2 linked regions of the Kluyveromyces lactis genome follow. The protein of the gene in region 2 purifies or fractionates together with the protein of the main gene of each other region. This does not show direct contact. Links are inferred from orthologs where the notes say so. Each region holds a gene or a part of one and is shown on either strand. Other genes may lie near its edges.

Region 1 (4,321 bases), on a different chromosome or scaffold from region 2:
AAGGTAAGCTTGCTTGCCTAATACAGATGAAATATAGGTCGAACATGGCAATTGCGATATTGTAGCTATTTACCAAATAAATTGGGTACGATATTTTTTTTGACGATCGGAATTTGTTCACTGTCCGCCCTGACGGATCACAAAGGTATATACAATATGTTTTGACTGGAAGCGTTATCAGTATACTTTAAATTGTGTCAACGTTGAAGTTACGATTGTTTTGTGAATTTATTAAGGCTTTTGACTTCTTGTTTAGTGAATAAGGTAATAAGTATAGGCAAGTTGACTTTTCTATCCAATAGTTCATTACGTCCAGCCTTGATTTCAATAAACGAGTCTAGTTTATTAAATTGATGTAGTGCTTTCCCGTTTTCAGTAGTCTTGAAGATCTCTATTATCGAAAGTGCTTTTTGTACATGAACTCCATAAGCAACAAGTACGAATGTATCAGCAGTGATAGCTGCGAGTTGATCCACACATTGTTTAATATTGGAGTTTTTACTGTACGAAATAATTGCTCCTACAGATGTCTCAGACGCATTGTTCCAACCTGCACTTCGCAGGGTTTCTGGGATGATTTTTTCTTTGATGTAGGTCGAACATTCTACGTAGGTGGAAGGATCTATGCCTTCTACTTCAATTTCGTTATATTTTAGTTTGGAAGAAGCCATCGTTGTTGCTTTGTAGCTAATTACTCAACTAAGGCGAGTTTCTCATCGATTGAATTATCAATACTCAATGCTACGATAACTTGGGAAGTTATTGTAGATTTCTTTTCGACGAGATGGGATGAGCATTGATACGATGAAAGCTATTCTGCGGACTGTTTACACCCTTACATATGTAAAAAATGTCAACACAACACCCATGCACCTTGATAAAACTCCAAAGGAATTAATTTCCTCTTTGACTAGTGGTCACGTGCATTTAAACAATGCAAACCCGTTGTATTAAGCAATACAACGTTAAAGTATTAACAAGTCCGGCATATGGATTGAATCCTCAGCACCAGATGGTTTTCAAGCGTAGAGGGTACATCCTGATACCATTCACTCAAGCTCCTTCTTTTTTATAATATACCATATGAGTTACACCTATTTCTGTATGATTAACGGATGCTTGTTTGTTTTTCATGTGGGCCTTAATTTGGAAATTGGAAAATCTCAAATTTTTCATCGCTGAGGGAAACCAAACTTGAAAAATATTGAATTTTATGATAAAACGTCCTTTACATATGAATATACATAATTGGATGTTAAGTACTTGATTAGATTTGTAGTTTGTATATAGTTTACAAGAACCACAGGTACTACCTTAAACATCCTATCACTAAAAAAGTCGAAATGGGGGGCGTCCGTGAAAAGAAAGCTGAATACTTTGCCAAGCTAAGAGAATACTTGGAAGAATACAAGTCTGTCTTCGTTGTTGGTGTTGACAATGTGTCTTCCCAACAAATGCACGAAGTCAGAAAGAACTTGAGAGGCAGAGCTGTTGTCTTGATGGGTAAGAACACCATGGTCAGAAGAGCTGTCAGAGGTTTCATCTCTGACTTCCCAGACTACGAAAAGTTGTTGCCTTTCGTCAAGGGTAACGTTGGTTTCATCTTCACCAACGATTCCTTGCAAGATATCAAGGAAGTCATCATCGCCAACAAGGTTGCCGCTCCAGCCAGAGCTGGTGCTGTTGCCCCAGAAGATATCTGGGTTCTCGCCGTCAACACCGGTATGGAACCAGGTAAGACTTCTTTCTTCCAAGCTTTGGGTGTTCCAACCAAGATTGCCAGAGGTACCATTGAAATTGTCTCTGACGTTAAGGTCGTTGACGCTGGTAAGAGAGTCGGTGCTTCTGAAGCTTCTTTGTTGAACTTGTTGAACATTTCTCCATTCACCTACGGTTTGACCGTCGTTCAAGTTTACGACAACGGTCAAGTCTTCCCAGCTTCCATCTTGGATATCACTGACGATGAATTGATCTCTCACTTCATCTCTGCTGTCAACACCATTGCTTGTGTTTCCTTGGCTGCTGGTTACCCAACCTTGCCATCTGTCGGTCACTCTTTGATCAACAACTACAAGGACTTGTTGGCTGTCGCTATCGCTGCTGACTACATCTACCCAGAAATTGAAGAATTGAAGGACAGAATTGAGAACCCAGATGCTTACGCTTCTGCTGCCCCAGTTGCTGCTGCTTCCGGCTCTTCCGAAGCTGCTGCTGAAGAAGCTCCAGCTGAAGAAGAAGAAGAATCTGATGACGACATGGGTTTCGGTTTGTTCGATTAAACACCTTATAATTATGGAAACAATAACAATTAAATTTTAAATTCACATATCGGTTTCAGATGATCAATCTGTATCTATAAGTTTAGTTAGTCTTTATTAATTTCTATCTTAAGCGCACAAATCTTATCGCATCAAATTATCGTGTCTTCATGGCGACAATTTATTTGTTTTTTGCCTGTCTAAGCGGTCCGCTCCATAGTAGTGTAGGTCAGATTATTGCTAATATTTGAAGAAAAACTGACGTCGGACACAAACTAGATTACCGTTCACTAACAGTTTGGTCAAAGTTGATGGCATAGCTTAGCAACTAGCACACAGGCGGTCTGATTAAGATGTCTTTATCGGTGAGGAGTCAAAGTCAAGATAATAAAGTCCTCTCAGATCTGTCTGAGAAGAAGTCATTTTTCAAACCTTTCCAGCAAGATAAGGATCTTGATGATAATCTAGTTTCTTTCGACCATGAAAGAGAATTCGTACAAGATCCTACTATTGGATCTAGTATCAAATTGGATGGTTCAGATGTGATAAAGTTTTCAGTTCGTGTTGACGAATCTTTCAGACTAATTTACGATAAAAATAATAATGCTTTAAAAGATGGTTCCAACACTCAAAATAAAAGTGAAGAGGCAGACAGTGAGAATATAGATATCATCGAAGGGGAGTTTTACTGGAAAAAGCTCAATAGATTGCTTGATGAGGACATTCTTCATGTATTCGAACCAAGAACTTCACATTTCATAGATTTCATTAATTGCCTCGGTGATGTCCCTGATTTATCAGATACAGAGTCATCAAGTGGATTCCTAGTTAACGAAGAAGATATAGTAGGCAAACACAAAGAATACGACATTGAGAACAGTTTAGCAGATCTTGGTGAGGTCATTTTGCAATGGGATATGGTATTAGGTATCTTTCAAAAGGTTAAAGATTTGGACATTGAAATGGATGTACTAGAAAAAAGTATAGACCTAGTAGCGAGATTTGTAAACGCTTCCCCAGATAATACTCTCTCAGTACTACTCAAAAAAGCTAAAGAGGAAATTGATAATTCTGAATGTAAATTTGTTGAAGGGAGGGGCAATTGTTTGGCATCTATCTTAGTACTTCAAACTGTTTCCCAAGTGCCACAACAATTGTTGAAAAGTCTTTTCTTTGAAGTTCAGGGCCAGAATCTATCATTATTGGAATTGAAACATTTGAAAGTCAGTTACAGTTTTTTGTTGGTGTACCATATGAATATGACGTTGTTGAGGAAGATTTTCGAAACATGTCTAAGTATGGGTTGTTCTTCTCAGAACGTATTACCATGCCTTGAAGGATTTATCTGGAATGCCATAGAGATGGACAAATCTGATCTAATAATGAGGATGGAAGAAGCATTTTGGAAATGGAATCAAAATGACAGATTTATTGGGCAAGAAAAAGTTCAATCTTGGTGCATCGAATTAATAACAAAGATGGAGACACAATTTAATAAAGATGCTGATAAGTGCAACGATGAGGATGCGTTAATGAATATCAAGGACAAGTACAATCTTGCCAAATTGTTCATAAATGAATTCAACGACATGTTATTTTCTACCCGTGGTGTTAACATGAACACTTTAGCAACTCGGGAATATACTGATATATTGACCAGATTTGCTAATAGCTTAGAGACAAGAATGTCAGGATTGTTTCAAAGAGATTTGTATAGTTTACAAAGATCCATATCTTTTTTGCTAACAGAATCTGAGTTCGAAAGCTCTGTGAAATCACTGAACGTCACTCTGATTGTAGATGCAATATCTAAACCATCCATGGACCCGTCCTCAATTGTTGCCAATCCCGGTACAATAGTAGAACGTGTATCAACATCTTTGTCGACTAGAGAGGCACAAGAGGTGGAAACTAACCAAAACCAGGAATTGATCCTAACTGAAGAAAATGCTACTCAAAGAGCTATAATAGAATGCGACACTATGCGATATGATGGATCGGTTTACTTTCAACCAAAACCTGTTGGGTGGATAGAATATTTAACTACCATGCCCGACAACGGA
Region 2 (6,590 bases):
AGCCCGTCATGGCGTAATACGCTGCAAATTGTGCAAGACTTATATTTATCTTGGGAATTATAAAACTAAATTTCATCCTGACCGTTAAATCAGAGATAAACACCTTTTCCTAACGACGAATATCGATTTCTACGCTTCATCACAAAAGGAATGCATGTCACATCATTCCACGCATCAGCCTGTCAGATGCACTGGCTATACTTCACTCTATTGACAATTCCTCGTCGTCATCAAAGGAAATATCTTCTTGAATTGCCAATTCAGCCTCCTCTTGCACCTTCGACAGTCCACTTAATTGCTCCACACACTTATAATCATCTAGCGCCTGTTTCACGAAATTCCATCCGTTTTCCTTTAGAGTTAAAATGACATTTTCATTGCTTGCACAACAGTGCTGATATGCCGGTGTTTCAAGTTTTACAGTTTTAAATTCATTTAGAAATCCTCGTATTTGATGCGGAGCTGACCCAAGCACGTTCGTCGAAGGCTGAAGATATGTCACCAATAATTCAACAGCCTGGGAAGCCGCTAATAGGGCAACACCCGGTCTAGTTACAGTACACATCTGATCTAATGTTCTGTCAGTTAGAGAATCACTTGGGGCCACGATATCGTTACAGAAATAGCAACCCAGGTTGTCATTATTGTTGCCATGTCTCATTACCAAATAACTGTCAAAACCAAGGGCCGCATTAATAACTATTTTTTCATGCATTCGTCCAAGCACCGAGGGAAGCCATCTCGTCTCGCGTGCATCCATTAAAAGAAATATAACATCATGCGTCCTTATAAGCTCGTCCAAAATTTCATAATCCTTCCTCTGCTTGCTTTCGTTCGATACAGGATGTCCTATCATTGGTATTTCCAATTGATAACCTGCAGAAACGACAGAAGGAAATATCTTCTTCAGAGAGTCACTGGCAGCTTCGGCCTTTGGTCGCCCACAATCTTCAAAGTTGAATAATGGTTGCCTTACCGGATTAGAGAAAGAGACAGTGCTGTTGTCGACAAAAGTTACATGACGAGTACCCCAAGCTAATAAAGCTCTAGCCACGTAGCAACCTAGGGTACCTGACCCCAAGATCAATGCTTTAATGTTCTTTATTCTTTCTAGATCAATGTCAGGAGCAATCCTCCATTTCATTAGCTTGAGATTGAGATCAATGGATTGTTCTGCTATCTTCACGGGATCCATCAATGAGCTTAAGTCAGCCGATTTCGGAGCTAATTTTCCAAGACCATTTTTCTCCCAACCGCTGACCTTAAGACATCCTGTATTGCTCCCGGTAACTCTGATCTCTGCCGCGAAGCTGGAATTATCATCACGAAGGAAACATATGGTGTACGTATTCCTTGTGGATATTTGACTCCAAACCGTTAGAAAGTTCTTAGTAACTGCGGCAGGAATGCCCTTCAGCCGACTGAAGTCCTTGAAGATGACTTTCTGACATACTTTGAGATACTGAGGTGATGCTTCCTGAATCTTTCCATCCACAACACAGGAGATAAAGCTGTTCTGCTCCCATATATCCTTCTTTACACCATCTTCGATTGATTTTGTTGAGATTATTTCGTACGATGACCCCTCAGACTGGAAAGTAGGCATACAAACCCAATAATAAAACTTATATTTCTTCAAATCGGCGAAGCTTATGACATAAAACCTAACACACTCTTTGAGACCATTCTTGAGGCCCTGTTCTAGTAATTGCTGTCCCTTTTCCTTGATAAACTTTACTTTGTCACAGGATTTGAATGATTCGATAGTATTAAAATTCAACACTGACCCTTTCAAAGTCACTGCCTCATTATTGAGAACAGGATCGAAACTGTCATCTCTAAGCGAGAGTGAAACAGTGTTAGAAGTGATATTTTCAAGGTCTAGTGCAGAGAACAATTCTTTCTCAGCAGAGTCTAACTTGAACACTTCAAGTTTTAATCTTGATAATTCATGGAAAAACGAGGTATCAACAAAAGACTTAAAAGCTGGTGAAAACTTAAGATCGTTAAGCATCTTTCCTGGTACTCAGGTTTTGTTCCATGAAGAAAGAATAGTACTTCTTGGTTTACTTTATTTATCTATGCACTGCAGTTAAGGGTATAGTGTATCAGGGTAGTATTACGAATCGACGTCTTTTTTACAAGAATGAACTAAACTCAGGAAAGCATTGTTACCCTGAAACATGCCAATTATTAATATTCACTAGTGTACACTATACAAGACGGCCATTGTATCATTGATCTAATGCAGATGATGAGTAAATTCAACTAACTTGCCTATCTCGTAAATATATATTGTAATTATTGTCCAAACAAGAAGAGACTAAACCAAATTCTATAGCATTTCTTCACCTTGTTGTTGATCTTCTAAAGTCATCTCATCCAACTCATCTAATAGTTCATCAATATCAATTTGTGGAGCATCTTCATCTTCATCTTCTTCCATCTCGCCTTCGTGCTCTGCTGGTTTGTTGCTCTTATATAGATTGATTGTTTGTCTCATTTCCTCATCTTCCTCCAATTCTTGTAGGAAAATCTCATAATCTCTTTCAGCACGTTCCATTTCTTGTTTCTGTTGTCTTGAAGTGTAGTCTTGAGAAGCTTCGATATCCTTGTGTTCCTTAGCCATTCTCTTCAACTTCCATTTTCTGTTCTTCTTTGTCTTTCTTTGATATAGTTTCTTGATTAGAACGATGTCTGGCACGTAATCAATATTTAAACCATCGAAGAGCTCTGAGTTATAGTTAGAGTTAGCGATAAAGTAACCCATGACACTGTCACCAGGATGAATAATACCACCAAGATGTGTTCTAACGTAATAGACTTGGTCATTGGAGCCTAGATCGGAAGATCTAGCGACAGTAACGTCAGCCAATACCCATTTGTTTCTAACTTGACCAGTAGGTTCAACGTCCAATATGATGAATTCAACTAGTTGGGACACTTCAGCTAATGCACTGAAAGGTTCACGCCAGTACATTGGAGCAGTCAAATCACACGTTTGAAGAGTGGTTGGATCCAGGAACTGGAGAGAGTTAGAAACCTTGGAACAGATGACAAATTGACTGATGTTACCCAAAGACTTGGCAAGCTTCTTAGGTAAAACAACCAAATCATCTCTACAAATTGGAACAATTTCCACGGAAAAAGTGAATTTGTAAGTAGATGAACCGGTATGGATATCTTGAGAGATTAACTCCTCGGATTTTTTACATTTGATAGGTACGACAGCATTTAAGAAATCCAACATCTTAGCAGCATGGTTCTTTTGAGAATAGAAGAAATCTAAACCATCCTTTGCCTCACTAATGGAAATGGTGTCAACATGGGCATTGTGCTTCAAAATCAACTGTTCTAAATACAAGAAAGTTCTCTTATGAGGAACTTTTTGTCTAATTTGGACGTTTGCTCTCCATGTATTAGTGGTATAAGATCTAGCACAGTCCGGACATTGCATGGCAATCACCACATATTCCACTTCAAATGTTTGCTGGATAATAGTGTTAGCCATAGCTTCACCTTGAACGGTCAATTTGACCCGGATACGTCTAGAATGAGGTTCGGTCCAGATAAATGATGCATCCACTAATCGAACTTTGTTTAAGCCTTTCAAACGACGTAAACACAACGCCAAAAGTTCACGAGATTCCAAAGAAGCCCTAATCCATTGGCTTGGTGGTTGCAAGAACCTCTCACAGTTTCTACAGAAAGAAACATTAGCCTCTCTGGGAATACCTTCTGTAATATCGACATTCAACTTAATACAGTCGTAACACATAACTAGCCCTGAGGACCCATCCATAGGCACACCACAACTGCAACATAGCACTGTAGCATGCTGATGTTGCATGTGATTCTGATCTAACGGAGTGTAATTCATCGAGTTCGGTGGATACTTCTGCCCTTGCTGGAATACCTATAATGCAGACATTAATCAGCTTTCAAGCACTATCAGACTGTGCAAGAACAAGATGCGATGAGATGAGCTTTCTCAAAATTTTTCTTAAAAGAGACTGCGAACCCTCAAGAAAAAGAAATTTTGCACGTGACTTTGAACCTTGGATTTATGCATCTATGCATATTAAGCTAGTCTATATACAGGAGAATTACACTTTATAAAGAATGATTAACACGTTCAACGTTTGGATTTCTTTCCAGCAAATAGCAAGCCAAATTGTTTCTTGGAATGTTTTTGTACTTTAGGTTCCATATCTTCTTCATCCGAGGAAGAGTCGGAATGCGATGAAGTCGATTTGGTATAATATTGGTTTTTACTGTGGTCTTTCGAAACATTTGTGCCTCTCGGAAGCTCGTTACGTATCTTCTGTCTTTCCTGATTCCTTATCTTATGTTTTAACGAAACCATAGCCTGGGAGTCGTCTTTCCTCACTCTGTGTATACTGTTTCTCTGTTGCACGTCCTTGGTAGCTCTTTTCTTTTTGGCTAAAGAGCTGACCTTCTTATCACTTTTGATGAACTCTCCAATGGTATGTATATCGGTATCATCAGTACTTTGCGCGTTCTCAAATGATAAACCGCTTCCTATTTGAATGACAGGCAACTGGAAAAATTCCTTCTTTGATTCGTTGCTATCCTCCTTTGCTAGATCATTAGATGACGTCTTAGAATCCTCTATCCATCCGAGCACCTTAGCAGTGGAACTGCTAAACCCATTTTGAAATTTAGCAAGTAGTGCTTGCTTTTCTTTTATCTCCTGAGCTCTTGACATGGCTTGGTGAGTCTGTATTACTTGTTAGATTGTAAGAGTATACCTTTATGGCGGCCGATGCATCTCATCTGGTTCGATCTCATCGCTTCAAAGAATAAGTTACCATTTTTTTTTCAGTGATTACTCTCTAAGGAAGAATCAGAATTCACGTGACTGATTTTTAAATGGAATATGTGGATAGGTCTATCAACTATGTGAGTTTATGTACGTCTATGAGTCTTTTCTTTGGATTCATTCTTTCTCTTTTGGAGTTTCCTTCTTTCACCAAAACCTTCTTTATCCATGGCCATGAGACTTTCTCTTTTTGCTGCTGTAACCTTAGTTAACGACTTCCTAATCACGGCTGTATCACCTACATCGGTGAACTCTTCCATCTTTTTATTAATCCTTTCCTCAATTGCCTCTACTCTTTGAATATCCTTTTCTGTTACAAAACATAGTGATTCACCATGGCGTCCGGCACGCGCTGTACGACCAGCTCTATGAATGAAAGTATCTGGGTTGCCAGGAATATCATAGTTTACAACAAGTTCAACAATAGGGATATCCAAACCTCTAGAAGCGACATCAGTAGCGATAAGAACTCTCGCAGCTTGTGCCCTGAATCTTTGTACAGAGTTCGTTCTTTCTTGTTGTGGCATTTGACTATGAAGTGACGTGACTCTTACATCTAAAGATTTCAAAGTTCTTCTTAAGATTTCAGCCGTTACGGTACGATTAACGAAAATAATGCAACTTGATTTGACGTATTTCTCACTGGTCAATATCTGGTATAAGTATGACTCTTTAACGTGCTCTGGGACTAGCAAATATGTCGTCTCTAATGTCTTCGGAATGGCGACGTTATCAACAGACTCAACCTCAAAAGTAAACACAGGAGGTTTGCCCTCCGTCTGTGGAGCGTCTGATAAAGCTTTCACTTGGTCTGTCATAGTAGCAGTGAAAAGGAGATTCTGTCTTTTGTTTTTCGGTGGTAAAATACTTACACATGTAGCAAGGTCCTTACTGAACGTTTCCGTCAATAATATATCGGCTTCATCTAGTACCAGAAATTTTACTCTTTTTAGCCCTCCAATGGTATCTTCCCCGCTATTCAGGACATGGTGTGCTAATCTACCTGGTGTGGCTATTATGAAATGTGGTCGTTTCTGTAATTCGATAGCTTGTTGCACTATGCTCTCACCACCAACTACTATTGCGACTCTGATGTTCATAGCACTTCCAAATGCTGTGAACTGCTCTGCGATCTGCATCGCAAGTTCTCTGGTAGGTGTTAAGACGATCCCAAACATACCTTGAGGGTCCTCGGACCATTTGGTCAACATCGGAGCTGCAAAAGCAATAGTCTTACCACTACCGGTGTTGGCACCACCTATACAGTCACGCCCTTTCAAAATCTCAGGAATACAAGCCTTTTGAATCGCAGTGGGCTGCACGATTTTCATCGCATTTAATGCTTCCACTAACCATTTTGAACATCCTAAGGACTTGAACTCAGAATTAGACATCTCTTAATATAGATATTATAGTTCTTAGGTACTCTTGGCGAGGTTTATATACAAGTTACTCCTACTAACCACAGCCTTTAGGTCAAAGCACATCTCATCGCATCTGTATAGAAATTTTACATGTTAAAGACTCTTTCCGTTTTCTTTTTTCATTCAAATATGCACCAATATGGGATTTTGGGGGCCCAAAATATTGGATTTCGGAACAATATTCGAACATCGGAACTTAGAAAAAGAAGTAGAGCATGACGTCCAGTAAGGATGTGCCGCTTATTCGTGTTATATCTACAGTTTACCAGCACATTGTGCCATTTTATGCAGGAGTACATCAATATTTTCTCCTTTGAGAGCAC

The links. The genes of interacting proteins can lie anywhere in the genome.
Region 1: the proteins of NMD3 (region 2) and RPP0 purify together in Saccharomyces cerevisiae (affinity purification with mass spectrometry; 4 studies listed by BioGRID, with this or other methods). This does not show direct contact. The link is inferred for Kluyveromyces lactis from reciprocal best matches to the Saccharomyces cerevisiae genes NMD3 and RPP0.

Annotation. Positions count from the first base shown.
Region 1 is NC_006038.1:531,029-535,349, reverse strand, and holds RPP0 (60S ribosomal protein uL10), read left to right. Parts: upstream 1-1,343; coding exon 1,344-2,279; downstream 2,280-4,321. Other genes in the region: ribonuclease P/MRP protein subunit POP6, read right to left, coding at 210-671; KLLA0_B05885g (uncharacterized protein), read left to right, coding at 2,612-4,321. UniProt on the Saccharomyces cerevisiae protein: Component of the ribosome, a large ribonucleoprotein complex responsible for the synthesis of proteins in the cell.
Region 2 is NC_006037.1:457,238-463,827, forward strand, and holds NMD3 (ribosome-binding protein NMD3), read right to left. Parts: upstream 3,881-6,590; coding exon 2,336-3,880; downstream 1-2,335. Other genes in the region: ATG7 (Atg7p), read right to left, coding at 203-2,014; NOP19 (Nop19p), read right to left, coding at 4,136-4,729; ATP-dependent RNA helicase DBP8, read right to left, coding at 4,930-6,237; putative GTPase MTG2, read right to left, coding at 6,523-6,590. UniProt on the Saccharomyces cerevisiae protein: Acts as an adapter for the XPO1/CRM1-mediated export of the 60S ribosomal subunit. Unlikely to play a significant role in nonsense-mediated mRNA decay (NMD).